Drosophila melanogaster: one gene and its partner. The protein of the gene in region 2 interacts with the protein of the main gene of each other region in a biochemical or structural test. Each region holds a gene or a part of one and is shown on either strand. Other genes may lie near its edges.

The links.
Region 1: the proteins of mof (region 2) and nsl1 form a complex in vitro, tested with the Drosophila melanogaster proteins (one study listed by BioGRID).

What each region holds. Positions count from the first base shown.
Region 1 is NT_033777.3:15,788,203-15,804,483, forward strand, and holds nsl1 (non-specific lethal 1), read left to right. Parts: upstream 1-5,579; 5' UTR 5,580-5,851; exon of another isoform or gene 5,852-5,998; intron 5,999-6,626; 5' UTR 6,627-6,704; coding exon 6,705-7,377; intron 7,378-7,443; coding exon 7,444-8,689; intron 8,690-9,095; coding exon 9,096-9,592; intron 9,593-9,884; coding exon 9,885-10,265; coding exon of another isoform or gene 10,266-10,279; exon of another isoform or gene 10,280-10,518; coding exon 10,519-10,834; intron 10,835-10,943; coding exon 10,944-11,060; intron 11,061-11,173; coding exon 11,174-12,098; intron 12,099-12,261; coding exon 12,262-12,819; 3' UTR 12,820-13,018; downstream 13,019-16,281. Other genes in the region: CG9590 (uncharacterized protein), read left to right, coding at 1-3; Uros2 (uroporphyrinogen III synthase 2), read left to right, coding at 402-1,163; c(3)G (crossover suppressor on 3 of gowen), read right to left, coding at 1,586-1,687, 1,746-1,982, 2,038-2,112, 2,178-2,690, 2,754-3,146, 3,200-3,382, 3,454-3,676, 3,732-4,240; Acyp2 (acylphosphatase 2), read left to right, coding at 4,633-4,699, 4,755-4,771, 4,840-4,949, 5,008-5,122; CG9593 (uncharacterized protein), read left to right, coding at 14,080-14,085, 14,138-14,567, 14,625-15,337.
Region 2 is NC_004354.4:5,868,549-5,882,747, forward strand, and holds mof (males absent on the first), read right to left. Parts: upstream 8,306-14,199; 5' UTR 8,205-8,305; coding exon 5,721-8,204; 3' UTR 5,292-5,720; downstream 1-5,291. Other genes in the region: CG15764 (uncharacterized protein), read left to right, coding at 634-1,515; GAA1 (glycosylphosphatidylinositol anchor attachment 1), read right to left, coding at 2,555-2,722, 2,792-4,470, 4,531-4,708; Usp30 (ubiquitin specific protease 30), read right to left, coding at 8,882-8,999, 9,058-9,257, 9,498-10,774, 10,829-10,910; CG16721 (uncharacterized protein), read left to right, coding at 12,505-12,773, 12,838-13,322, 13,387-13,687, 13,749-13,915, 13,979-14,199. UniProt on the Drosophila melanogaster protein: Histone acetyltransferase that catalyzes the formation of the majority of histone H4 acetylation at 'Lys-16' (H4K16ac), an epigenetic mark that prevents chromatin compaction and constitutes the only acetylation mark intergenerationally transmitted.

The DNA of each region.
Region 1 (16,281 bases), on a different chromosome or scaffold from region 2:
TAAACGGATTTAAGATTAATTGTTGTACTTTCTACTTTTACTATTGCCTGGTTAGTGTTCTCAACTCACTTGTTTTTCCATATAAATGTACAAAATTATAAATGATTGCGTTGCAAATGCTTGTGATAACATTCCCGAAATTATTGAGAAGTTTTTTCAAAGTGCAACTGAAAGTTCGGTAGCCTGCATTCGTGTTTGGTTGGATTAGAGCCACCTAATAATAGTTGGCTTCAATGTGATGAACTATTTTTAAAACCCGACTCTCGATAGGCGCGGCAATAATTTTCAGGCATTATCTATTCTATGCCCTTTCTATTCGAACTATTCTATAAATCAAACGCAAAACACGAATATCAAATTGTCCATTCTCTAGTTAAGTCCAGCAAAATTTAGTTAGAATCATGGGAGATCGCAACAAGCAGCCGGTTATTCTGCTGAAGGTTCCGTCCTCCGATGATTTCTATGGTTCGGCGTTGCGCAGCCATAACCTGGATCCCATCTTCATTACTCCCTCGCATTTTGTGTTCAAGAATCTGAAGCAATTGCAAGCCAAGTTGCATGAGCCGCACAAATATGCCGGGATTATATTTGCATCCCCGCGCTGTGTCCAAGCTGTAAACGAGGCACTAGGAAAGACACCACTTCCTAGTTGCTGGCGTGCGTTACACAATTATTCCCTAGGCAAGAACACGCACAGCGCCGCCTGGATAACATTCCAGAATCTTCCGACTCTGGGCGATCATGCCGTGAATGCAAACAATCTGTGCGATCTGATCGTGGAGACGTTTGGACCCAAGAGGGATCTGCCACTGCTCATGCCCTGCGGCAATGGCGTGGGTCAGACACTGCGCCTCCGTTTGGTCGCCCAGGGATTCCGGGTGGATGCCTGCGAAGTGTACGAGAGTCGGTCGCATCCGGATTTCGTCAATCAGATGCGGCACGCCCTCAAATTCAAGCGAATGGAAACGATTGTGTTCTTCGGACCCTCCAGTGTCCGCAGCTCCTTGGAGTTCTTTGGGAACTACAACGTTTCGCTTAAGGATCGCAAGCTGATAGCCGTGGGCAGTGGCACCAGGAAGGCAATGGAGGAATCTGGAATTAAGGCGGACGGAGTCGTGAATGCTGCTGACGTCGACCGCCTGATAAATATCATCAAAACATAGTTTAGTATCGATCATTTTACGTTTTGTTTTTACCAGTTTTTACTTTTGGTATGATTTCAAAATCTGTTTGGTGTCCTTTAAAGAAATGAGGACAAAAGTGTGTTATTAATTAAAGTGTTTCAACAAAGTACATGTAATGTTTTTATTACAAAAACTATAATCAAATAGATTGGATCTATTTGAACAAGATACTTCAAGATATGAGTTTTAATTTAACAATTAGATACAAAATGGGATTAAATAACATAAAGTAATCATGTTCTTAAAAATAGCTTGCCAGTTTCAGACAAGTTTTCAAAGAAGTACAGATGTTTAAATGATGATGGATCTGAATGAATTTCTAAGCTCAATATTCTTCCATTTTACTAAAAACAAAGTGTAAGAATTGATAATGTTGTCTGTATGTTCGTTGTACTGCTTAGTTATTTAGAATTCTTCAACATGTCGAACATATCAATATTATTTTGTGGCTTGATGGGCGCACATAATTTGGCACGTTTGCCGCTTAAAGAGTTGCCCACGATCTGTAATAAAAGTTCAATAATTTAATTTCGATTATAGGTGCAATTAACAAATACTCACTGGTATATCATCGCCGCTATCAAAGTCGGAGGAATATGTGGTAATTTTTTGACGACGAGCATTACGCTTTCTGGCAGTGCTTGAAAATTCGTCTGTATTTTCCGGTTGCACCTTAGTAGGAATGCTCTCAGTTCTGGTTGGCCCTTTGGAATCTTTTAGCTGTTTAATTGTGGTCACTGGTTGGTCGATCAGGCAGTTAATTCGATTCATTTTAAATTGTAGCACAGCCATTTCATTCTGTTGGGCAATTTTAAATATATAACATGAAATATAATGAGTCCGATAGACTTACGTTCTTTTCACGCTCAAGTTCAATCAATTCGGTTTCTTTTCTTTTAATTTCAAGCTCCAATTCGGATACCTTTTTCTATATAAAAATAATAAATCATTTTGTAGAAAAAAGGTTAATGAAAAAGAATTTATAAGTCTTACCATTAGGTTATCTTTCTGAGACTGTAATTCCTCGCTAAATTTAACTTTGGCCGTGGATAATTCACTCTCGATTTCCTTCTTTTCAGCCTGAAGATTGATAATAGCGCTCTTTAGCGTATCATGATCACTAATCAAATATTCCAATTTATCCTGTTGAGCCTTAAAAGCTTTATTCCTTTCTTCGAGTTCAGATTTAAGTTTTTGTATTTCAACAGCGTTTCGCTTATTTTCGCTCTCAACTTCAGTGGCCTTCATCTGCATTTGATTAGCAAGCTGCTCCTGTTGCCTTTTGAGTTCTTCTTCAAAATTATGAGTTTTTTCTTGAATTTCATTACCAAGACGCTTTATTAGCTCTTCCTGATTGCTGCGATGGGACACCATTTCTATAAGTTTTTCCTGCAGTTCGGAGACCTGCAGAAGGGTTTCTTTGTGTAGCTTCTCACTGTTGCTTTTTAGCTGAGTAAAATCAACTGAAGCCTTGTTCAAGCTCTCTTTTAACTCTTGAACAACAATCTGTCAAGGAGAATAAATAATCAAGATACAATAAAATATGAATTTAGTATTTTTCAGACCAACCTCGTAGGCATCTGCTTGATCTTTTATTTCCTGGGAGTGCTTCAATTTTGTTTCAGTCAACTCATTGATATAACTTTCGTTGATATCAGCGAGCTCGCTCAATCTCTCCGTCATTTGAGTTAGTTCATCACTTAGGGAAACATGTCTTCTTTCCTTTTCCTCAATAAGAGTCTTAAACGTATTTATCTCATTGCGAACAAGTTCGAGTTCCCTCGTTGCCTGATCAGTCAATCGTTGCTGATCCACGAACTGCAATTCACTGGCTTCTAAATCACGTTGCAGTTTCGACAAAGCTTTGTTGGCCTCTATTGGCAGCTGCTCAATGCGATCTTCAAGCTGGGCGCAGTCAAGCATCTTTGCATTTAAGTCGCTGCTTAATTGTAAAATGTTTGCCTGTGGAGAACATAATGTTATAATCTAATACAAGGAAAGCCAGTGTAACCCACCTCAAACTTTTCCTTTTGTGCAGACACATCTTCAAATTGAAGCTGTAGGTCTTCGTGGAGCTCTTTGAGATCGGTAAGTTCATGTAGAATCATAGATTTGGCCACTTCTGCTTCTTCCAAATCCTTTTTATAATTCTCGCAGGCTCCAGCTAACTCACGATTCGTTTGCTGCATATTATTCAGCTGCAAAGTGAGATACACATGTAGATATATATAAATTTATATCTATATATTTTAAAATATAGTAAACTCACCTCTTGCGCCTGCAGGGCCATCCGGGATTGAGCATCTCGGAGCTCTGAATTTTTCTTCTCAACACATACTTTAATGATTTCCAGCTCCTTGTCGTAATGTTGCTCGCAGTGGGTGTACTTTTTGTTGATTTCCGTGTACTTCTGGATGTTCTCTGCGTTCTTCTCCTGCTGCTCGATAAGATCAGTTTTCAGTTGGGTCAGCTCCAGTTCCATATTTGTCAACCTGAAAGAATAAGCTCACTGCAGGCAGGAACTGTATTGAAGAAGGAAGGTCTTACTTTTCCTTCAAGCTGATATTTTCCGATTTTTTCTTCAGCGAGTCCATGGCGATGGCTCTCATTTTCTTGCTGACCACCAAGTCTTTCTTCTTGAGATTATTTAGCGATTCGTTGTACTGCTTTATGAAGCTATGAATTATTATTCCCGTGTGGGGCGACAGCTTCTGAATATCTGCCCATAATTCTCCCTCGTTTTTGGGAGACTTTTTTAGACTTTTTGTTGAACTGTCTATGGTGGCTGCAAAAGTTTGGTCTTCCTGTGTTTTTTCCACAGCCTGAGAAGTTTGCGCTTCAATTTTTGATTGCTGAACTCTAGGAGCCACTAGCGGAGTTCTTTTTTTGGATGGCTTTTCGTTTGATCTTTCGAAAAGTTGAGTTTTTACATGATCCTTTTTCCAAACAGTTGGAATTTGGCTGTTTTTTTCTTGGGCAACTGTACCTGGTTTTGGGGCTTTCGAGTGAGCTGCATCCACTAACGGTGCTCCCGATCTTTTCTTGGCGCCCGTCATTTTGCCAGCTAAGCAGTTGTATTAGCGCAACTAATTTATAAAAGAAATAAATATATATTGTACATTACAAACGTTTTGTTTAGTTTACCTAAACTTTTACCAAGTGCGTCCTGCGTTGAAAAGCAACGGTAAACATTAGCTAGAGATGAGCTTGATGACCTACAGTATATTGTTGTTCACAAGAGGTGTGTGTACTGTCTAAATACTGACCTCACGGTATTTTCTACTGAACGCCCCTGGTTTTGCGTTGTCGCCCTGGCTACGATAACTATGTTACAATTTAATAATAATTCTATTTTGGTTGTCAACATTCAGTTTTTGCTAGCTCTATTTAGAAATTTGAGTGCTGCAAGGAATCTAAGTGGCATCAGAAATCTGATCACGACTACATAATGGCGGGATCTGGAGTTGCCAAGCAGATATTTGCCCTCGATTTCGAGATCTTTGGACGAGTGCAAGGTATGCAATGCATTTTTCTGATTCGGCTTGTTAAACAGCGTATTAAATTTTGCAGGTGTGTTCTTCCGCAAAGTAAGTACTGGGAGGCCTATATATATATCTGGAAATCAACATTTAACTTATGTACATTTTTGGCTTAGCACACGTCGCATGAGGCTAAAAGATTGGGAGTTAGGGGCTGGTGCATGAATACCCGGGATGGGACCGTCAAGGGACAACTGGAGGCTCCTATGATGAATTTAATGGAAATGTAGGTACCGCTGCACTCCACTAATTCAATCATTTAACCATCGCCCACTAATTTGAAGGAAACATTGGCTGGAGAACAACCGAATTCCCAACGCTAAGGTCTCAAAGGCTGAATTTTCGCAAATCCAGGAAATCGAGGACTATACGTTCACTTCCTTTGACATAAAACATTAAAAACGAATTATTAGCTCTTTCGTTGTCCATCCAATTCCGAAACAAAGTCTAAATAAATTACCAGGGCTGCAACTTGCGTAAGCAGGCATATCTGCATTGCTATCGACTGAGTCGATAACATTCGATAGTATGAACATAAGAAATATTACGTTTCGCAAAACTGAACCCAGTACTGAAGTACAACAATAAATAAATAATAAATTATTTAAAACAAGGCGGAAAATTATTCCGAGAATCGATAGTCGCTAGTCGAAAGTGCGCACCACTCCAGTATCTACTCGATATATTGCTATCACAGCCGATAGTTTGCAGCTCCCTGCCATAGACACTGGTCATCTCGCTCGCACACACAACAGTGGGCCGCGCCACCGCCATAGGCGGCGCACGTGCAAGAGCGAGACAACCAGCTGGGCGACAGCGCACTTTGGTCTGGCACAGAAACGAGTACAGCTTCGATACACGTCGTTTTGCCAAAAGCGTAGCAGAGCAGTCTAAGCGATGAAAAAAATAAATGAGGAAAAAAGTCCGTGAAGCGAAAACCGTAATTCCTACAGTGCGAGTCACGCCATTGTGTTTGCAAAAAATATTTGCCAATTGTGCTACGGGCAATTTTTCGGAACGGCCGAATTGTGCGTATAATGAAAAAAAATACTACTTAATTTTTAAGCAATTTACAAATTCTTGCGTGCTGCCTGCCTGCTGTCGGTGTGTTCTTGCTTGCATGTGTTAGTGAGTACGATTACTTTCGCGCTGAAAACCTTTTTCCACTGCCCTTTCGCTGGAATCTGGGCGAATATAGATAGGACACAAAGCACATATAACTGATTTTTACTGCAGAATTGATCGAGACATGTGGAATACAATAAATGAGATTGTGTAAATAACTGAATATAGTGGCGCATACAGTTGCACGTGTGTGTGTGCTAGCATGTGCGTGTGTGTGTGTAAAGGCGCGAGTTTCCGTTTGCCTAGGCTAATTGTAGTGGAAAAACTCAATAAACGGAATTACATAAAAACATGGTGGCATGATCGGCAGTTTCCCGCCGGCAGAAGATGCCCAATCTTGGAAAATTGTAATTTTCGAAAGTAACCGCAATGATTTCGTCAGTATGTAAAGTAGTCTGTCAGTCCCTGCATATGTTTGTGTGTGTGTGTTCTATACAGTTTTTTTTATTGCGCATCATGGTGTGCAATAGCGCGCTTTCTGACCTCTCTCTCGCTCTCATGGGTTCTCTTGTTGGCCAAAGCGACGCTGTGTGTGTGTTGTGTACGCATATGTAGCATATGTACATAACACGCCGGAAAAGACAAAAAAAAAAAACCATTCCAAATTTTGAAATCTTACGGAGGCGGGCGGTTTAAACGAGATAAAAAATAAATACACCAATATTGTTCTTTTATATGATAACGCAGTAGTCTCGGACCGAATAGTATGCCTTTATTTTGTCGTCCTAACGCTGAATTGCCGAAAAATAATAGCCCGTTTTTGGAAAATTCTCGACAGGATTAGCATAAAGAGACGCCTTAGGAGTCGAACGAACCAAATGCCGCAGCAGCCGGCCAACGTATTAGCATCAGAACGATGGCCCCAGCGCTCACAGCCGAGCCACTAAGTCCAAAGGAGAAGCTAACCAGCACCGCCTCGCCCTCGGCCCGCAGCTCCTCGGAAAGCGGAGGAGTTGGATGTGCAGTTGGCTTGGTCAAGAAGCCGGCAACACCCACGCCGGCCACGGCCACCACGCGGATTACCCGCTCATCAGCGGCAGCGGCCTCAGTTACCGCTTCCCCGCATCTACAACAGCAGCGATCCTCGCTAGCAATCAATAACAAGCGAAAGTCGGGCAACGCTAAAGCCAGCAATGAACCAATGGGGCTGAGCACAGCCCCGACTCCACACAGCACCACTTCACCAAATCCCTCGACGGATACTGCGGCAGCCTCCACCTCTGCCGTGGAGCACAACAATAACGACAGCAACAGTACCTCCGCCGGCAACAGCACCTCCGCCGACAACAGCTCCACGCCCAAGGACAACTCCACCGCTCAGCTACTGGCGGATCTAACCATCAACTTTGAGGAGACCATATCCGCGGAGATTTGCCTGAGGAAAACCCTACCCGATGTGAGTCTGGGGAAAGAGCCGGTTCCGCCTGCCTCGGTGCTGGCAGTGGCCACAAGTTCAACGAGTGCTGGCAGCGCTCTATCCTTATCTGCAGTGGATGAGGTGACCAAGATAGAAATAGATAATATAGAAGGTGGGTCTAAGGAATCACTCCAAATAAATAGTCTTGACTCAAAATTTCTCTCGCCCACTGTTTCAGAGCGTCTCAGCCAGCTAGATGGGAATGCCACTGGAAGGCCCGAGGAGCATGTGGCACCACCTTCTGTTCCGGTACCCGTGCAGGAGGCGCCAAACACGCCCACCAGGCCACAGGCGCCACCAAGTGCCCATCTTGAGTCTCCGCAGCCGGCGCGAACACAGCAGCAGTCCATTCAACAGATGACGCCGCAAAGCACCACCAGTTCCAACAATTTTCTCAAAGACGGAGCAGCTGGTGCTGTTCTAGAGGATCAGGATATCGAGGAGGTGCTTAAAGCGCTCAAAACATTTGACGGTGGCCATGTTAATCCAGATACCATTTGCGAGTTTTTCGACGAAGTTTGGGAAGAGGCAGCACCGGCAGCGCCATTGCCGCCCGCGCCACCCGAAAATGTGGTGGATGTGCCGGGCGCGAAGCCCAGCTGCAGTGGCATCCTCGTTAGCGGCAGCAACATTTCCCAGCCGAATGTGATTATTAAGCAGGAGCAGCGGCCCTGGCAGGAGAGTCATGCTGAGTTGGAGCAGCAGCAGCACGTTATCTCGCGCAGGATCGAGTTTTTGCTACGCAGGATGCGCAAGCTCCAGGCGCGAGCGATGTGCCGTCACGCGAGCGAGGAGGTGGTTGGTATCATGGAGTGGTCTGCCCGCAGTTCCCATAAGGCTCCAGTTCCAGCGAGAAGTTCCACGCTGACTGAGCAGGAGGCCACTGTCCTATCGATTGTCTCAGGGCGTCCGAGCTCAACCTTCTGGGAGGAGCAGAACAAGCATCCGCTGCCTGCTAGCCAGATGAGTAATGTGATCCGGCATATTGCGACGGCGGCAAAGCATCAGCAAATCTGCCACTCAGCCAGCGGAAGCTCTGCTACTCTGGCGCCATCCTCCAGCTGGTACAACAGCTGCAACAGCTCTGCGCTGCCGATGAAGCGTCCACGAAAGAATCAACTTGATGCTTCGGTTGCAACGGGTGCCACACCCACTGCACCTGCGCCAGGAGCGGTAACATCTAGACAGGCAGCTGGCACGACGGGATCCGCAACGGGTTCGAATACACCGCGGGCGGATGATATCGTGCCCGGCTACGACACCTATGTGACTAATGAACTCACCCATGTGTCTGGCCTGCTGCACACGGAGCTTCGAGAAGTACAGAATGCCATCGACTCGGACGCCACGGAGTCAAGTTCTGGTGGAGAATCCGCTGACGAGATGGTAACCTACAACAACAACCAGCAGCTCTCGCTACCAATGTGAGTACTTCGTATTATTTATGTACATACTTAGGTTATCGGGAATATTTTACAAGTAAACTTTCTTCCATCTTTTTTTGAGGGGGGTTTTCAGCTTCTGTCATCTTTTTAAGATCATTCTTTTGCTATAGAATTTGTCCGATTAATGTTGGCTCGGTAGTTTTCTTTCAAAATTGTTTTGCTTTGACAGGCATTTTAAACATGATTTAACGTCGTCCTTAGCAATTGAAAAGTTGTAATAGGCTTTGATTAGAGTTGTTGTACCTAATTATCGCATTTACAATGCGATATTTCAACTATTTCAACAGTTTTTATTAAAATTGTTAATTAGCGATTATATATTTCTTTTAGCTTTTTTTTTGTGGTATTCTCTTTCCTAATGCTCTTGAAATTTGATTCTTTGCAGCACTCGACGCGCTGTCTGGCGATATTCGAGAGATCGTGCAGCCATTGCCCTGCGCTGGTCCTGGCTCTGCTCCCAGCTGACCGATTTGGAGATGAAGATCCGTCAGCACAGCGACCTTTACATGGATCTAACTCAGTCCAAGGGCGAGATCCAGCTGGAGTCCACAGCTAAGACCTCACCGTCGCTAGCACAGCCGGCAAATGGCATTAAGGAGGAGCCCGGATCCGACTACCTCTGCAGTCGGGCACGTCCATTGGTGCTGTCCGAGTTCCGCAAACGCAAGCTCTTCCAGACCACGAACATGCACACGATTTCCAAGAAAGCCGCACGCCCCAGCAACATTAAGTGTGGCTGCCAGTGGCCGCAGGTGCCATGCACACTGTGCACGGGTCGGACAGACCCTACGGCGCCCAGGGATCTGGTCGAGACGATGATGCCGCAAAACCGGGTGGCATTGCTCGATGCTGGCTACCATCCAGTGCTCAGCTTCGCCAGCGGTGAGTGGGAGGTTACACTGAGTGGACCCATTTGGTTTTCGTCCATGATTATTTCTTATCATCTGTGATGGTTTAACATTATTTATTCTACACTTGAGATTTGAACTGAATTGATTAAAAAGTAAAACTTTAAAATGCAATACTTGCAAATAATTTTTATTCGAAACTAAAACATTAAAATCCTCGTATTCTTTACATTGGATTCCAAAATGAAAAGAAATAGTCGGATGATGACAGCTAAAGTGGAATTATGTTTGAATATATTCTTATCCCTATCATTCTTGTTTCCCAGATGTCAGTCAGTCGGTTCACTTGGAGGCCGTTGCCCGCCAGCCGGACTGGCAGTACCGCGTCATGCGCAGCCAGCCCAAGGCCATTGTCAAGGCCATGTGGAAGGCGGAGCGCGAGACGATAGCCTCAGGCGGTGTCGGCGGACAAGGTGGCAGCCGGCGGTCGGGCGATGCGGCGAAGCGGCGTTATATACGACGCAAGGAGCGCAACAACAACTCAAATAAGGAGGCTGGGAGCGGAGCTAAAGCTGCTGCTGTCGCCGCAGGAGGAGCAGGCGGAAACGGAAGCAGTAGCGTCGGGGGAGGGGATAGCGGAAACGGTACTGGTACTGCTACTACTTCTTCTTCTACTACGCCTACTACAACGCCACTTGTGGCCAACAGTAAATTATTGTAAACATGACGAAATTCGATAATTGTTATTAACATAAAACAACAACAATCTTTTGCATCTCTTCTTCTTCTTTTTCTTTGCATCGATCAACCAAAACACGAAATTCCACCAACACCATCAACAAACACCACCACCAACAACAACAACGAAAAACCCCACCAATTGTTTTATTTTGCCATTCCGTTCTTGTCTCCGTTTCGTCCCCGTTCCGCATCCAAATCACGGACTTGACGCAACATCAGCAGCGGCCAGGGGCAAGCGGCAACCACAACACCCAACTGGAGCGAACAGTTCCAGCTCGCTGTGGCCAGACTCTCGCCAACGCCAACGACAACGCCACCACAGTCCCTCCTCAACCTCGATCTCGGCACTGAGCGGCGCTAAGAAGGCACGCAAATCCGCAACCAACAGCAGCAGCAGCAATTCCACACAGCAGCAGCAGAATCACCACGGCACCAAAATCAACAATCATCATCTCAATGGCTACGGCGATCAGTGGGGGGAGCAAAGCAGGAGTCGTCGCAACTCTTCGCCCTCCAACAGTCATAAAAATGAGAGGTATGTTTCGGATTCAATAACTGATCCCAGGGATTCGCGATAAGTAGTCCTGCTTTTTTTTTATAAGATAGATTGTTATATATAATTTATATGTATGTTTCCCTTGCAGAACCTCTGAGCGTCGCGTTCGTCCCATCTACGACATCAATAACATCGTTATACCCTACAGTATGCTAGCCCAGTCGAAAATGGAGATAATTCCCTACAAGGAAATACCCATACCCAAGTAAGTATTCAATTTTGCGCTAAGTCCTTATTTTATATATATATGTCGCATAATGTAAAATACCAAGATTTGTGTATATCTATTAAAATCACCCATTCCATCTTTGCTTTCAGGTGGCGCATTGTAGACAGTGATAACGATAAGGGAAAACATTCGTCAGATGAGTCAATGGAGCGCAAACTGAGCAATGGCTGTGTCGCATCAAAGTCAGAGGAGCTAGCCAAACAACAGCTACCACCACCACCAGATCAAGATCAAGAGCAGCCGGCCCTGCAGCCTCCGAAGGTTAATGGTTTAAAGGAAAATCAAGCAGTCAAGCACAATAACAATAATAATACAAACAATAATAATAATAAAAATGGACTGGTAAATGGTAACGCCAAAAAGGATGAACTTAAGGCTGCAGAGGATCACGATACGCAATCAAAAGAAGACGACGATCCAAAGGAAAAGGTGGTCAAACCCAAGCTCAACGGAAACTTGATAAAGAATCCGATTGACAAAACTGCCGAAACGCAAGACAAAATTGCTCAGCCAGCACCAGAACCACCACTGCCAAAGCGACCCAAGCTGGAAACTCCAACCTCCAACGAGGTCACCAAGGCTAATGGGCAGTTGGTGCAGCAACAGCTGGAATCCCGTGAGAGCGAGGAGGAGCCACAGCATGTCGACGAAGATCTTTCGGATGAAGCGTTTATTATGCGACATCAGCGAGCTCTTCTCGAGGAGCGACGCCGCTTCGAGACTTTCCTTAAGTTCCCCTGGAGCACCCGATCGCGTGCAAATAGGCGCGTCGATAGTCGTGCCGAATCTAGTGGCGCCAACACACCGGATCCCGCCTCACCAGCTCCTCATCTAGGCGGCCCTGGTCACGACAACGAAAGCATTCCCTCGCCGCTGGCGTACCCACTGGACGCTTTTAACGAAAGCGGTGAGCTGCTGACTGGCGGACAGGCACGCCAAGCTCGTCGTCGGACTACGTCTAGCAAGCTTAAGGATCAGCTGGAACGGCGCAGCACCACGCCCGATCTGCGGGAGGTAAGTCGATGTCCAAGTTTCACATTTGTTGAACTCATATATAAAATAAATTCTGGTTGTGCCTATTACTTTTGCCGAATTTTGTTTTCAAACTGCTTTGAATGTTCAAATACTGATTGTATAGAATAGTTTTCTAATTGAAACCCTTTTCCTTTTTGTATAGTCTTACACTGTGATGCCATCTCCCTTTGAGCCCTTGAACTTTCCGCTCTCCGACGAGGTCTACCAGCGATTGCTAGCCGAGACATATGCGCCGCCCAGGTCAATGACCGTCTCAAAGCGGGCCAAAAGCAAGTCGATATCCTCGAACTGTGATGGTGGGAACACCTTCACAGGAGGCAGCGGCAGTCGGCGCAGCAGCAAGTGCAAGATTAAGCCAAATGGTCAGCTAAATGGCCAGCTCAATGGCCACCCTGCGGCGGCGAAGTTGAACGGAATAGATGCGGCAAATGAAGGTGGAATTTCTGAGCCGGAAGAGGAAGAGATGCTGCTAGAAGACGAGGATGACGACTATCCCAAGCATCATCTGGCGCCGCTGGATGACGAGGAGCCGTCGACACCAGATGTCGAGCATGAGCTTTACGACTCGGCGATCGATGCCTATCTCGCTGATCCGGAGGCGCTAGAGGAGGATATGGGCGAGGATCCCTTCGAGGACGACGATCCCAACGATCCGGAGTGGAAGACACGGACCGAGGGTGTTCGCAGCAGACGCATCTAAGACCAAAATCCAAAGTTTTCGTTATTTAAGACTTTTAAACGATTTGTCAATTTTTAAAGCCACAACACACACACACCCACAAATCAGCCGGAGCAGACCAACAAATTTTAATTTGTTTCAAACGGTTTGGTTTGCACTCACAACAGCATTGCGTACTCTAAGCAATCGTCTAAGTTATTTAGTTCTACGAGCCCACAACAAAAAAAAAAAACACAGATACGCTACACACAAGTACACAACAAAACAAACACGAAGCAGAAGCGAAAATCTTGAAACAATGTAAATACAAGCTAAACGCATAGAGCTAAGCAGTTACTGATAATTGTACACTAACCAACGATCAAGAAATCATCGAACGCACCCACCACGTCGCGTGGACGTGGTGGATGCGGTCGGTTGGAGCACTGGTCAGCGGTTAAGTAGGCACCACAACAAACCCACTTGGGCTTCAAGCCGAAGTGCGCTAATGATAAAAATATTAAGCTAATCTAAATATATATATATATACGAAAACATTTAAATATATACCATATGCATACATTAACGTGTAAATGCCGAAGAGAGCAGTTAGCTGAAGATTTGAAATGTATTCGCACCTGCACACAAACGATATAACAACTAAGCTATAGAAGGCAATTATCTGTAAATTGATCAAGCTTAACCATTAGCTAACCAACCATTAGCCTTTAGCCCAGCAAGTAATCAGTCGGCGTTGGGGCCGTGTTTTTCTTATATTTTAAAAAGTTTATCAGCTGTAAATGTATAGAGCGGAATTCGAAAGGCGGTGTGTGAAAATGGATCGAACGATAAATGTATGTATATGTATTTTAGTTGCTTAGGCGTTTTCATTTCTACCTTATAAACACGTTAGCGGCTAATTGTAGCAATTAATACTATAAAACACAAAAAAAAAAACAAAAACAAAAAACAACAACCATAAGGAAACCTAGCGCGGCTATGTCCGTGAAAATGTTTATTCTAATTTCGTTTTTACTATCTACTGCGTATGTTTCACCGCAAAGCTAGAATCCAGTTTAATTCGTTAAAACTTGAAAAGAAATACAACAGAAATGTGAAGATTAACTAAGGACCGCAAAAATACAGAATTATATATTCTTAAAAATGACACATGGAGCGCCAGAAGTGATATGCTGGGACCACCATCGCCAGATGGTGGAATCTGGCCAACATGTGTGTCGAATAGTTTCACTAGCTGACTTCACCAGTTGACTTCAGTGGGCGATTGAACTTGGAATCGAAATGATGGTAAGGGCGGACAACGCACTGGCGGCTTTAAGGATACTGACTCCCTTTCAAGAAGTTTTCATTGCTTTTTCTGCTGGCCTGGAGCTGTGTGTTTCTGGGAAGCACGGGTTCTCTAAATCGGATTGGGAATTCTGATATAGGCTTTAAATCCTTGGAGGAGCTAGTCTTGATTAGAAAGACTTTGGCTGCACAGGCACTAAAGCTAAGGGGCTTGGAGATAAATCTGCATCGCGTGCTCAGCAAGGTGGTGTTACTCGCCGATGCAGTTGTGCAAGTACCTGGAAGATACTCCTCCAAAGAAGATCCCCTTGCCGTTCTATCTGAACGTCTAAATTTGTTGCTGGAGCGACTGAACCAGGAAGAAAGAATATCTACGAATTTGCTGGAACTCAAAGAGTGGTCAACTAAAGTGTGCCAAGAACCTTCCCCAAGCCAGACCTTACCAAAGGAACTTACTGAAGAAAAGGACGAGCCGAAAGTGGGCAAGTTATAGTGTATCATTTTCAAGTTTCATCGACTCACCCGGTGACATTTTCCAGACTTTTACCAGCCCGCCAAATCCGATTGCCATGAGCTTGACGAAGGTGTCCGGGTGGATGGCGTCTATAGGTTTCTGGTTCCGGAGCGCAATGAAGTCCAGCGTGATTTGTACGAGCGTTATTGCGCCTTCGCCACCGACGGCCCCGCCTGGACAGTGATCCAGAGTAGAGGCGGCTCCTTCGATCCGCACGAAAATTTCAATCGCAGCTGGGACGAGTATCGCGCGGGTTTTGGTAACTTATCCCGAGACTTCTGGTTTGGCAACGAGTTCGCGCACAAGATTCTCTACCGCGACGATCATGAGCTGAGAATTGAGCTGCAGGAGGCAGGGGAACCGCTGGATTGGGCGGAGTATCCACTCTTCTGGCTAGACAGCGAGAGTTATAACTATCAGCTTTCGGTGGCTGGTGAATTCCGTGGTTCACTACCGGACGCTCTGGAGCAGCACAATCGGATGGATTTCAGCACTTACGATCGGCGAAGGAACCACGCGAAATCGGCAGATTCCACCTGTGGCGAGGATTACGGTGGTGGCTGGTGGTTTGATCGCTGCACACAGTGCAATCTGAATGGAGAACATGGTGTCCACCAGAGAGCAAGTCCAGCCATTATCTGGATGAACTGGCGGACCGGGACCGATAAACCGAAGAGCTCGCGGATGATGATTCGACCCGTAAATCCCACTCCGGGCGATAACTCTGATGGGGATTAGGCGGCGGAGAACTGGGAAATTTAAATAGCAATTCCAATCAAATGTTGCACGTATTTCTGCAATTGAACGTTACCGATAGTTGGCACTGCAAATAAACGTTACCGATAGGAATCGAATTTACTGGCACTTTCTAAATAATTCTGTGTTTATTCCTGATTTAAGCTGTTTCCATTATTATGAAAATTGGAAGGTATTTTCGTATCATAGGATTTCCTTAATTTGTCTAAAATTTGAGGAAAGCAGGAATTTATCGAGTATTATCGAATGAATGTGAGTGAAAGCAAGAAAAGTCGCGAGCTAAGCATTATGGGGCGCCAAATTTATGAATTTCAATGATTAAAATGAAATATGTTTAAAATGATCTTGGGGCAACTGTTTACAAAATTTATTGAGTCATTATTATAATTATTAAGATAACGTTTCTTCGACAAGAATTGCACACAATTTACTCAAGTTTACAATGTAGTTACCACACAATGGCAAAGTTTTGCTTTTGGCCACAAAATAACCTTGCACGAAGCTAGTTATAACCCAGCGACCTTAGATTATTAATAAAATTTACCCTAAGATTATAATAATTTCATTAAAAACTGCAATCAAAGTTTCCCTTTTTGTTCGCATTGGCGCTCAATGTGGCCGCAGAAAAATACCGCAAAACGACAGTAATAAAAAAAAGTACTAAAATGTACACATATGACTAAAACCAACGGCCAGTCGTCGATAAATTTTCAAATCGTTCGGTTGCGGGCGGATGATTCTTGATTGTTTTAGTCCTAACAACATTGCCGCTCGGACGCATTGCGGCATTTTATTGATTCGCGATAATCCTTGTGATAATCAATAATTAAGCATAGAGTCAGCGGATAAATTAAACCAATAAAGCACATATCCTATGTGCCGTTATTGGCCGACGACTGTAATTGTTTTTGCGCGGGTGTAAAGTG
Region 2 (14,199 bases):
AATTTTAATTATTTCCACACGCAGCAGCGACGCACTCAGTAAGTCCATGGGCGGCAGAGGGAACCGGCAAAAGAGTGGTCGTTGGAGTGGGATGGTGGGGGGTGGGGGGGCGAACCCGACCGCAGGGAGTGTGTTGTTGGCTTTAACGGGGAATTAAGTCGGGCAACAGGAAGTCAGCGAGCACAATAATTAAGATGAGCGCTCGAGGGGCAATTATGTGACATCAACTTGCCAATTTTAAAACACCCCCGCCCCCCCGCAATCACGAACTCTCCGCATCCCTTTATCCTTCAGTCGAAGGATAATGCGAACGTTTTGGCCAACAGTGGGCTGTGTATAAAGATTTCTAACCATATATAAATATTCTTCGAACTGCATACTTTGCGACACATTCATACACTCAGAGAAAAAAACCTTTGTAAACTTGTAATCTTGGAGTTGGAGTTTTCCGAAACCAGTAGGCCCGTCTCCAACTGGCAACACTTCATTTCACCTAATTTGACAGGGACACACACAACACGTTTGCTCTACGGTTCGGTCGGTAGTACCAAATCTTATATACACTACATCTTCACAGTATAGCCATATATATATATTAATATTATCAAAATTTTCCACTAAACCTGCTTTGGAATGAGCACAGAACATCTGAATGACGCGGCGGAGTCCGTGAGTGCCCGGAGTTTGGCTTTGGATCGCGCTATCGTCAATTTGGTGCACCAGGCCCGTCGCCTCCATTTGAACAGCGTGAATGGCTATACATCTCTGGAGGCATCTCTGGAGAAGGCAGTGCCAGAGTTGCTCACGACTAGGAGTGATACCGCACACCCCACCACCACAGCGACCAGCTCGGCAAGGTCTTTCCCGAAGCGTAGGCCCAGTAGCCTAGCACCACGACCTGCGCCCAAGGCTTTCAAAATGCGCAAGACCGATACGCATCTGAGGACCCCACGTGTCGTCCAGTGTAAGACGGCCCGTATCCCGGTGACGCCACCACCACCGCCACCCTCGCCGCGTTGCCCAAAACCTGGGGAACTTAGTTCGGCCATGGACATGGCCGATCTGCTTCGGATCGAGATCGCCGAGACGGATGCACTGTTGGATCAAATGCTATTCGATGCCAAGGCACTCGAACGCCAGGTGGCGATCCAGTGTCAGTTGCAGAGCGATGCGGAAATGATCCGCAGCCTGGAGATGGAGTACAGTGGGCGATCCATGAGATATCTGATAGAGGCCATTCAGTCGGACTGCGAGAGCCAGGATGTCCAGGATCTCTGGAGCCGATGTCAACGCTCTTTGGAACGCCACGCGGAGCGACAGACGGAGCTGGAGTCCAAAGAGGGTCTGTATCTGGATCGGAATCCAGGCAAGGGCACCGGCAAGGGCACCCAAACCGATATGGCTGACTCTCAGGACGAGATGCTACCTATCTCGTCCAATTCGATTTGCCAATGGTTGCGAAGGGCGATGGGTTCTTTAAGCCAAGAGGATCAGGTGCAGGAGATGGCCATCTAGCGCAGGCCAGCCTTGAATAGTATTTGAATAAAGATACACAACTCTAAAATCACTTGTGTGCTCTGCTGTTTTAACGATGGCCCATAGAAATATTGAAAAGCTGCGATTAGACTAGAACTGCGAGGATTAATTAACTACTACTTGAAAAAGTATATATATTTGTTAACTGATTTATACAGTGATACAGCTCAGTGATTTGACCGAACTCATCTTACAATCTATCTATCCATTTAATAAAAAGATATTCGAAAATTTCTCATTTCTACATTTCGAGTGAAAGTACCACTGTGCCGCCGCAACTTTGTGTCTGCCTTTGAATGGTTGTGTGAGGAAAGTTTTCTTGTTAAGTTGCAGATTGAATGGCGCCGGTAAACACGGTGCGGCAAGTGCAGGGCTCCCAGCTTCGAGGACACCATGCATCCATGCCTCTGATTGAGCCAAATCCTGGCTCATAACTAATTGCCAGCAGCGACGACGATGGCGCTGGCAGCGGTGCAAAGTTTAAATTAAGTTGCGTGTCATAGTCGAAAAGTTTTCCACTTATTCAAAGAGGCACGTGCTCCACTGAGCACTACTCCACGGAGAAACTCCTGTCCTCCACTGGCCAATAACGCCAGCGAAGACGGAGGATTGACAAAAGAAATAATAACCAACGGATGGGAAATATATGCATTACTGCTTTACGTGCAAACAAAGTTGCAAATATAATGGAAAATCCATAAATCACAAGAAGCTACTGATAAAGTTAACCACTTAAGTAATTTAAAATGATAAGTTAACTGGGAATCAACATCGAAAATGCCGTGGTATATTTAATATTTTTTGGATTACATTTACACTTAGTTATTCCAACTAATAAATAGGCTTCTTTTATTTAGACATTTAATCAAATGCATAACATTTAAATGGAATTTTCTCTGCATGTGCAATCTCTTACCGCCATCACACACAGTTTTGTTGGGTTTATCACACTTCATCTTAGGATCATTTCCAGTTGATATATGTAGCCAGTGAATGGCAATCCGTGCTGTTCGTCTCCTCAATTCGTTTTCACCTTTGACTGCGGCTGCGGCGACGTTGATGGCGACTCATCGAAGTCCAGGTAATCTGCGTAGTCGCGTCGCTTGGACAGCGACAAGGTCCAGCAGATGATCCACAGCGGCAGGAAAATCGTGCAGATGACAAAGTACAGCCAGTTGCCATAAATCTGCAATAGGAAAGTATTTTAGTTTATTATCTATGTATGTTAGTAGTGGCAACTGAAATCTTAACTTACCACGGAATCGATAAGTCCATAAGCCGAGGCATCCATGGCCGCGGTGGCCGCCCTCAGCATGATCTTCTGCACCGGCAGCTCCGGGAACTGGTAGAATGTCATGGCCAGCACGATCACATAAACGACCATCATGGGATTCATGACCAGCGTGGCCAAGCGGATCGTGTTCCTCAGCGTGCTGCGCGAGTTCTCCTCCTTGGTCTCCAGCGCGATGACCAGCGGTACAGTCAGCACGGCCGCAAATAAGCCCAGGGCAAAGTTGAGGAGCCCGATGACTATTAAAGCGCAGCCATAGATTAGCAGAAAGGCCACATGCAGCAGCTCCAATCCTCCGGGCGGCAAAACCACCACAAAGGGCAGAACGAAACCGATCAGAGAAAGAAAACTCAGTACTGAGGTGGTCAGTGGTGCGGCGCCCATAGGAATCTCTAGGAAATATTGCTGCAGGGGCAGCACGTTGCACAGGAAACCAATCAACAGGGTGGCAGTAAGGTAAATCAATACCGAACCATACGGCAGCTCGAACTTATCCGGCTCTAGGTTCTCCTCCAGTTCCGCCTCCTGTTCGTGCTCCCTAAGCCAGCCAGCGGCCTTTTCCAGCTCAGCGTTGGTCGCCGGGAGCGTGGACCACGTTAGATAGGCCTTAAGGAAGGCACAAGCTACCAGAGCCACCAAAGCGGGCATATAATCCCCAATGGAGATGTAGCGATCGTTGCTTACGATCACATAGAAGAAAAAGCTTTGATGGAAGCGCTCCAGAAGGTTGTTCAGACTCCTGGCTATTCCCTCGATGGCCTTCAGCAAAGGCACCGCTGCCGATCCTGGGCTGCCCTTCAGTGTGGCATGGGTGGCCCTTCGATTGGCAGCTATGGTCAAAGCATCGATCCGATAACGGTGGAACAGCCCATGATTGCCAGTGGGTACGCCCGACGACTGGCTGGCCAGCATGGTCAGCATCTGGCGGAAGTTCTGCTCGAAGTGCGACTGGCTGTGACGACGCTTCTTGCGTGGCGCTTGTTTATAGCCAGAGGCGATGCCCTCGCGGGCCATAATTCTCTGCACCAGATTGAACATATCCAGATTGGGCAGCTTGCCGTTCAAGCCCTCTATTCGCACATCCACATGGTCAATCTCCAGATCCTGAACTTCAATATTCAGAGCCGCTTGCAGCGAACCAGCGCGAGCGGGCAAATTGCCAGGACGCAGGTACGCCTTGCTCAAGTCCAGTTCCCGGTCGCCATCGTGATAAGCCTCCAGCCAGGCCTGCATGCCCAGCTGCTCCTGTTCGGTGATCAGGAAGATCAGATCCTTCGCCCAGTAGTTCTTGCGCCGGGCAAAATCGGCGAAGGCCAGCAGAAGCGGCACGCTGGCGGAAATGTCCGTGTGCACGGAACTGGCAGCGCGATATGGAGCCGCAAAAACGATGCCCTCCGTGGAGGCAATTCTTGGGGCCCTCAATATGCCGTAGATATTCTTGCCGTGATACTCTTTACCGCCGCCAAATGGGTAGCGCAACGTGTAGTTGTGCGTGTGCGTCTCCAGGCCGAACTCGTTCATCTTGGCCGCAATCCAGGCGTGCGGCGTGGTGGACAGATGATCCTTTCGCTCCCGCTGCAGCTCCTCCAGCAACTGGATGGCCAGACGATTCGCATCGATGCGGATCTCCGGATAGACCAAGCCTACAATAGATCACACCAATTGTTAGCGGCTCTCTTTTGGTGACGCTGCACGTAACTCACCTGGCGAAAGAGCATTCTCGGAGAGATATGTCCCGTGGTTGAACTCCGGCAGCGCCAAACAGAAGAACCAGGCCACACCCGCCACATAAAGGGCGTAGCACACCTTGCGAACATGACGCGCCAGTCCGTCCACCAGCTTGCTTTGCGTCGATATCGACGGATCGGACAGCAGGCCCATTTTGGCTGCCCTATATCCTGTATATATCCCGAATCACAACAACACGAATCGGACAAGCCGGCGGAATTGTATCGATGCGGGCGTTATCGATAACCTCGATAACCGATTGCTTATGACGCTAGGGAGGAGAGGGTTAGCAATGGATTTTAATGCTCGAAATTTTAAACTTGTTTTTCCAATGTTTTCGATATTTCTATATATATTTTTTATTATATCAAAATATACATATTAAGCTAACCTACAAGAAATGTGTTGCAAAAATAATGAAAAGAATAACCTGTCGTTGTAAATATTTATTTAATTTTTCCTCTTTTTGACGTTAATGTAACGACGCATTTATTTGAGAAAGTACATCATGTTCTCAGATTGGAGTTTTTCTTTTTTACAGTTTAAATCATTTATTATTGTTCATTAGTCAGTAGGAATCGTTCAGTTCTTTCTGAACTTAACCTAATGTGTAGCCTAAAAGATATTATGGATTCTCTTCCTTAATTATAGTGTATAAAAATGTACCGTGGAGAGATTATGCTATCTTACGTGTAAGGAGTTCATAGAGATGTATTCTCTTCAGGCGTCGGCATATCGGCTGCTGTGGAAGTTTATTTGGTTTTTAACAAGTCCAGAGTTTTTCGAGATAAAGTAGTTAAAGATATATATTTCAAGAACACAGAAGTTTTTAAAATTTTTAAATGGTTGTTCCAAATTCCCTCTCCAAAAACATTAGCCAAACGAATTAGACATTTGGTTCTATCATTAAGAGTTACAACAGCCTATCCGTAAAACTCCTTAACTATAAAAAAAAAAAATTGTAAACCAAATGTTAAGTATTACATTGAACCTTCTGATGGTTCCATTTAGATATATGACTATACATTTTTCGTTTGGAGGGGTGCAATAGAATAGCTTATTCCTACGCTTTCTTTAAAAAAAAATAAAAAAAAAAAACCTAATCGTCATCGTCAATAACAATTATATGCGATGATAGCAGAACGGGGTCTCCAGGTTCCGTATGCTAGCCGGAATTTCCCGGAGCTCTGACCACTGCCGCTGCAGTTTGCGGACTCCAGACGAGGTAATCGGTGTCGATGGTCAGCTTGGGCTGCTTGAACTGCGGCAGCTGGAGGTGGTCTTGAATGGTCTTGGACGTAACGCAAATGACATTCTGGCCCTTCCAATACTTGATCATCTTCATGGACTGCAGCGTGTAGATAATGTCGTCGTGGGTGATGCCACTCATTTCGCTCAGCTCCTTGATTGTGATCTGCTCTGGAGCGCAGCGGGTTTTCATCAGCTCCAGCAGCGTGTATGCCCAATAGCTGCGATAGCTCAGCCTACCCAGATCCGAGAGCGGTTTCTCCGGACTACCGATTACGCCCTCCTTGCGCGACAGCTCATAGCTAAAGGCTATTAGTAGCTTTCCAAATCCCTTACGCTGATGCGGCGGCAATACCAGAATGCAGGCCACGTTGTAGTTTTCCAGCGACTTCTTTTCCTTGGAGAAATAGCCCACAATGTGACTGCCCTCCTTGTCCGTCTCGCAAAGGATGTAAAAGAGAAACGGGTCCATGTCGAAGTATAGAACCTTGTGGTCCAAAAAGAGCTTGGCCATCAGACACAAAAGTTGGCAGTATAGTGACTCCTCCTTGCCGTTCACCTCGTAAATGGATATATTGCCCTTGCGGTAGATCTCTCTTCCGGGCGGACGCCTGCGGTCGCATTCGTGCAGATGATAGGCATAGCTCGACCTGAAGCGCATGTACTTTAGGCAGTACTCGCAAACATATAACGTACGTGCCTTGCCATATTCTTCGGGGAAGGGACTAAAGTACCAGGTGTCGATCTCGTAGTTGCCAAACTGCAGCTTATCAATGTACTTGATCTTCGTAATGGACTCGTGCTCCTTCTCCAGCGCCGCCTGCGTGGCGGTCAGCTCAGCGTGGCTCTTCTGCACGTGGTTGATCTCATCGTAGCGCCGCTTCTGGTAGCGTGTCATCTTGCGGTCGCTGTAGTCATAGCGACTGTTCTCGCAATAGGACAGATAGTAATCCTTGTTGGCCGCACGCTTCTGCCGTTCGGATGAGGCAGCTGCCGCCGCGGCGGCCTGTTGGGCGAGCATTTCCCTGCTAGTACTTGGCTGATCGGGGGCTAATGGTGGCGCTGGCAGCACGGTAATACCGCCCAAGTCATCCGCATTGTCCGAGATCCTATGCCTGCCCACCCATCCGTCCAGGCGGCGATTGAGACCAACATAGTGGACGTAGTACTCATCGGGAGCGGCCGCATTCTCAGTGGTGCGAGACTGAAGCACCTGGCCACGGTGCACGGTGCCATCCTCGCGCCGAATAAAATAGATCTTGTCGGGATTTTCGCTTATATCGATCTTTTGCATCAGAGGGTCACCTGTTGTGATGACCGTCTCCCTGGAAGTGTTGTCGTGCTCCATGGTCAAGGCATCATCTTCGTCCTCCTCTTCCTCTTCATCGTCATCGCTGCTGCTAGTTTCGCTGCTGTCGTCAGAAATGGCCTCAACGTTGGCGCTAAGTACGGTTTGAATGGGCAGAACTACGGCTGGCGGCGGCATGTTGCGCTGGCGAGGATCACGCGGCGCCAGGCGGGTGGGCAGGCCAGGTGTCGATTCCTGCATGTAGCGAGAGCGTATGTAGGGGGATAAATATACTGCTGGTGGTTCCTCGCCGTCATCTGTGGGCGAGGCGGGAGTCTCGGGGACTTGTTCCGCTGCTGGAGGAGGTGGTGGTGGCGGTGGGGCAGCCAATGGCAGCCCCAGTTGTTGTGTCCCTTTGAGATGAAGAGGAGCTGGAATGGTAACCACCTCGGTGATTATTGCATTGGGAGGAGCATCGGGATCCATAACGAAGTCGTCAATGTTGGAACCACTGCCGTAGGGGTTGATGTCGGCCACGCAGATTACCGTATCGGAGGAGGGCTCATCCTCGGTTTCAATTTCCTGGTCCACCACCTCTTTCTGCTTCTGCGGCTGCGCGGGCTCCTGTGCCTCCAATTCAACTGGACCTGGTGACTTCACCTGATCCTGACCGTCCTCCTTCTTTTCCTCCTGCTGCTGCTGCTGTGGTTGCTCCGGCTCGGGCTCCGGTGGTGCCTCCTCCGCCTCGCTAACATCGTCGTAGCGGGAGGAGCTGGACGACCTGGTGGAACTAGTCGATGTGCTGCTCGCCGGCGTGCTGTCCTCCGAAATGGGACTGATGTCGCGATGCTGGCGCTTCGCCGGTGGCTCTGACTCCGCCGCGGCCTCCGCTTGGACACCGCTGAGGTCGAGCGACTGCTCCGCCGACTGATCCGAGCCGCTGACGTCTAGACTGGCGCTCAATTCGGCCGCCGCATCTTCAACCGGCGTCCTCGGCGGACCGCCAATTGTGTACGCATCGGTTGGCTCCTGTTCCGGCTCATGCTCCTCCTCAATCGGCTGCTCCTGCACGTGGCCCGCGCTGGGTGTCTGTTCCAGCTCCGCTTCAGACATTCTTAGCCACTAGATTTGTCCAATTGCGTATTTTTGTTCACTCTTTAGGGAAATGAAACGAAATACGGCGTGAAATGCAACCCTGATTTATCACAACATGTCCAGATAATCGATTATTAATCGGTGGTTATCGATGTACAATACTTTGCACCCTTTTTGAAATTACCCTTCTGGATTTTTCTGTGCATTCAGTATTATAATATATTTTATTTATCCAAAACCTTCAGAGAAAGCACTTTAAAAAATTGGAACTGATTTCGAAATTTTTATTGAACATCTATCCTACAGAATTAACGCGCAAACAATTATTGGTAGTTGATTTGTGTACATTGCTAAATACAGACAGCTAAAAGCACGGCATGAATTTGGAATTCTTAAAAAATCTTAAATGCATAGATAACAAATGAAGAGTCGAGCTCTCTGTTACGATAGGGAGTTCCTATATGCAATAAGCCGTACACAGAGTTTGGATTATGCGGAGACCATTACATGAACCCGCCGAGTATAGGTCAGATCATCGTGGGTTCCCGTACTTATATGAGTTATGTATATATATCTATATAAATGTGACGCGTGTTTGCTATGGCCACCGTTCGACGAAAAGGATTTGGTTTCGGATATTCATATTCATCACATCAAAAGTATGGACTAGAATAATACCGACGACCTACACCTGACTAGCGCAGATTTAGCTGCCTCTGCTGGCCACGATCGTAGAATAAAAGATAGGCGGGGACGCTCAACACCTCGTCGATGCTCACCTCCCGCACAATTGTATCCGATGTGTAGTACCACCTAATAAGGATAGCACAGAATTAGCATAATTATTACACAGAGGCAATGGAAACCATACCGATGTGCGTTCCGCAACGAGCCACGCCTGTAGGTTACAAAGTGACCGCTGTTTGCCTCCCCGGAGTGCACCACCACGGCCAGAAGCCGGTAAAGATTCTTGGGGAACATCGTGCCAAAGCCCTCGCCACCACCAACGCCATTGTTCATCGGCAGGCTGGAGGAATACAGCGACATTGTCGAGCCCCAGGGAGTGCCAGCCTGTAATCATGAGCAAAAGTGTTTGTTTTAACAATATGCTAGTTACTAAATGTAAACAGTTCTTGAATTGAATGCCACTACTCTTTGTACACCAATTAGAAAAGGAAAGACCTATATTCTATAGATATATCCTATACATATATATCCTTTAGATATATGTATTTAAATGATCATATATAAGGATAATTTTTACAGGGGAAGTTTGTTATTCTGGGGCAAACATATGCAACACACGCTCACCTGGCTATTGAGATGCGGCTGCACGAAGCTGTAGGGCGCCATGGAGAGGCTCTCGGGGAAGTGTACATAGTCCTTCCGCTTGCACACCTGTCCAGTTGGCAGCCACACCGTCCGCGCCACATGGATGCACAGGCAGGCCGGTAGTTTAGCGAACGTAACCGATTTGGTGTGCGTGGTGGTCTCGTTGCAGGAGTCACACTTGACATCGCTCAGATCCTCCGATGTGATATACTCGCTAAGCAAGTGGCCCAAACTCAAGCCAGTTCTGCGTTGCGGCGGCAGATTTAGCGTTATGCTGTCGAACTTATCGTACCGAACGGCCGACTTGGAGCCGCAGCCATTGCACACGATCTGTGCGCCCATGGCGCCCTGAAACGGATGCGCCACTTGGCTGGGCATCATGTTGGACCAGATGGACACCCGACCTGGTCCGCGATGCAGGCGCTCTAGCGATCGACAGGAGCTGGACACCCGGCGATTCAGACCCTCATCCTGCTGCTGTTGGGATTGTGGAAGTCGCGGTCGCGACGAACGCTCGCCGCCCAACATAGGCGTAGCCAAGGAATCCGGATTGCTGACGAGCGGAAAGCCAAAGGGTGTCCCTGGCGAAACGGCATCCAGAAGCACGGATCCCAGGCGATCGTTTCCGTCGCGTTCGCAAACAGAGGCAGGCGAATCCGGTGTGTGGGCCTCGGAACGCACCAATCGCTGCAAACTGGTGCTCTCATCATACTCCATGTTTAAGAAATCAGTGAGCATGGCACTGGAGGGCCGGTTCGGTTGATCCCCGATCCTCTGGCTGGCTCCCAGTCCCGCTGCCATGGAGCTAAATGATCGAAAGCCCCCTACTGGCGTTGCTGTGCCTGCCAAGCTGCTGTTATCATCGTTATCCGTGGGCAGAGCATCCGACAGACAGCCGAGGGGCTGTGGTCGTATGGCCTCCTCCTCCAGGCAGGTCAATAGCACGTGGAACAGCTCGTGGGCGTCGTGCTCCTCCTGTGGAATCACCCAGCCCAGGGCATTCAGAGCCCGGAGAACGGCTCCCGGTGAATAGGGATCGCCGCGCAGAGTGGCATGGGTGCCATTGACCACTTCCAGAGTGTTTAACATCGACGTAATTAAGCTTTTTCGATCCGGCGAGGCGTTGTTGTACAATTGCAGCCAGGCAATGAACTGGGGACAGGCGGCCATCGCCTGTAGCAGGGTGTTTAGGAAGCAGGTCAGTCCAAAGTTGTGGAGACCGGCAATTTGGCCGCGTCGTTGACGCAAACGGGAACCTGCAAATGTTTCGCTGGAGTAGGGAACTACGCCATGGAAGATCTACTACTCACCCGAAGGACCCCAGAAAACGAAGGCTCCGACTACGGCGGCTACCGTCACTCCGGCGGCCATTAGAATCTTCTCGCTCTCCATGGCTTGAGATTTCCGATGGCTGGTTTTCCGGTGCAGATCACTGCGGTACCGGGAACTCCCAATCCCGCCGCCAAAATCGCACACAGACTAACTCTAGTTAGGAATTTAGACCGAAAAAATTTTTGTGTCTCTTGATGTGTTGCAAAGCGATTCAGTTGTTAACACCACAACGTGCGGCCATTACGCAACACTGGCGCGCAATTATCGTTAAATTTGCAGAGAAAATCAAGTATTTTAAAATTCAACCGAATCGTTGTACATGTGAATGTTTCTACTATAAGCATTAAACAAACATAAGTTTGACAGCTTAAATTTGTAAACGTAGAATATATTTCCCATACTATTGTATCGTCTATCGATAGCGACGATTTGATCAACTTTCGATAGGCACCTCGAACAGCTGTGTGGAAAGGGGATTGTAATAAAGGAAAACAAAGTAGGCACAACAACCAAAGTTTTCAATCGAAACGGAAACATTCGGATATCAGTCGTCGTTCTTAATAGTTCAGATTAGAATAAAAATCCTCCTGGAGGAGCATAATTGAGTGAAAATTAACTGCAAAATTTGTCTGTGATTGTGGAAAGTGAATCAGCTGTTTGGGAAAAGTAAAACGGAATACTCTGGAACCTTCTCGTCGTTTCTTCCTATTGTAAGTATTCGGATTGGCTTTCATCTTGTTTTAATGCAGCCACTTTGCATCGTCCTTGTGTCTATTTCCCAATTTTCCAATTTTCCCCAGCTGACTTGCTGCGCAATAGGAAAAGCAACAACAACGAAACATAAATACATACACACACATACACACACTCGCATGGACCTAATCGCTTCTGTTTTTGTTGCTACTTTATTGCGCCGTTTGTTTATGTCGTCTATTCGCTGCGTGGCCGTTGTGCAATTTGCTCCCATTTTCCACATTTAATTTTGGAATCTGTGCCACGCAGCTTGCCAAATTACATATTCTAGAAAATTTGAGAATTTTCGAAAGTGTTACATTTTATTTCCATTCAAATCTTTTGCGCCTTCTCTCCTTGTCGCACATTCATACATGCAAGCAGACGCGCACTTGTTTGCTCATTTGTGTGTGTGTGCGAGTCACGTTTAACGGGTTCCTTCCGTGTGTTTGTTTACAGTGGGTATTGGCTAATACCTATTTCGAAAATAACAATTGAAACACTATTTTTGGTTGAGAAATATGCGCACACAGCAACAGGTTATTGAAAATTGGTTATGTGTTGCAATTATAAACCTAAAAATATTTTCCTGCCAACTCTTCTATATGAAAATCGATACTAATATGAGAAACCGCATCAAGGAATATGGAAGAGTAACTTGTATCTTGCGATCACTGTATCTAAGACCCCCTTTCTTTCCCAGGCGAACTGACCCCGAGCGGAGCTTTAGCGACGACCTCGAACAAAGAACAAAGAAAGCCCGAGTGCAGTTGCCAATTGCCTTGTAATAATCACCAAGCCATATATACAACTGGCTCTAACCGGTGGTAACCAAATTCGCATTTGGTCGAAACCAGTTGCTGCAGCTGCCTAACGTCGCACTTCCGCCCGTGAGGAGACAACAAAGGACTGGAATTTGAATATGGATGCCCAGGAGAATAGGAGTGAACAGTCGGGACAATCGGGCGACCACGAAGAGCACGAGGAGCGCCGGATCCGTACGGACAGCGAGAGTTCCGTGGAAAGCATGACGCGTTTCGTGCTGCCCAGCTTGGATGGTACTCCGCCGAAAATTGTGACCCTGGACGAAGTGTCCAGCATGTTCAAGAATTTGCGCAACATGGAGCTGGCCCACGAGATAGCCCTCAATCCGGACTTCAAGCTGCAGAAGTACGAGCCGCCCTCGGATAGGTGAGCATGTGCCAGCAGCAGCCCTGTCAGGGAAACCATTCAATTAACATTCCCATGTCCACAGTTTGGAGGGCGCCATCAAGAAGATGGTGCACAAGGCCTTTTGGGATCTGCTGCGTGTGCAGCTGGACCGCCAGCCGCCATCGTATGATCAGGCCATCCGGCTGCTGGCTGAGATCAAGGAGTGCTTCCCGCAGCTGCTGTCGCCCAACAACGAACGTGCCCTGGCCCACATCAACGAGGTGCTGGATGACTCCGTCATCCGCCAGCAAGCGGAGCGGGGTACCCTGGACTTTCGAGCATATGCCAACTTTGTGATCAACATCCTGTCGCGATCCTGTTCGCCAGCTAGGGACGAAGCAGTGGCCGCTCTGCGCAAGATCGACGATGTGGTGGACACGTTTCGCTGCATTCTCGAGCTGATGACGCTGATGAAGCTGGATATGGCCAACTTTATGCTTCGACTGGCGCGCACCGAAATCGCTGCCAATTCGGTGCAGTATGAGAAGGAGAAGTTTAGCAAGTACTTGCGCGAGTTCCATGGAAATGGTGGGTTGTTGGCCAAAAAAAAAACTACAATGCCTTTATTTATTGGGAATGCCATTATTTCCAGTTGGTTTTCCGGCCACTGAGGATTGGCTGCAGCGTCACCGGTCCGGTAGCAGCGATGATGAGACCATTTACAATGCCTACATGCAGCTGATTGACTATCCGGCCGACAAGGAGTTCCCGGAGCTGTTGCGCATCGACAAAGAGCGCTTCGCCGGCCTAAGTTGGCGAGCCCAGCGCTTGATCCTGTGCGCCTCGCTCATCTCGGTGGCCCAGGGCATGCCTATCATATCGCAGCGCCGCGAGAACCGCATCAAGCTGGCCCAGCAGCTGGACATCATTGTGCAGGACATCAAGAACCAGGAGTGAGATACCTCGTGCTCTAGCCGAGCGCTGTTTTAACCCTTCTTCAACCTCAATTCACAGCCAAGTGGCCTCTACCATTGAGAGCTGCTACGAGCAGATTCGCTCCTTTGTGAACAAGGCCCTGGAGCAGGAGAACTTGCCTGCGCTGAGTGATGCCGACCAGGCGGCGCTCAAGAACCAGGTGCTTAAGCTGGCCAACAAGACGTCGCCGGTGCCCAGTTTGATGGGTGAGTTTACTCGTTTATGCAATACAATGTATTTTATATTCAATTCACGTAAATCGCTTGCAGCCAAACGATTGGATGGCTATGTGCGCGTAACACTGCGCTCCAATGGCAGCATTCCGCCGCCGCCCTCAGGATTCGCGGACTACCAAGAGGAGCTGGTTGCATTTATCGCCTCGTTCCGTCGTCTGGTGTCCTACAACCACGCCGTGTTCGGGGAGCACTTCCACCAGATACTCAACAAAACGCTGCCCGGTGAGGAAACGGAGGCTACCACTTCCACGGCC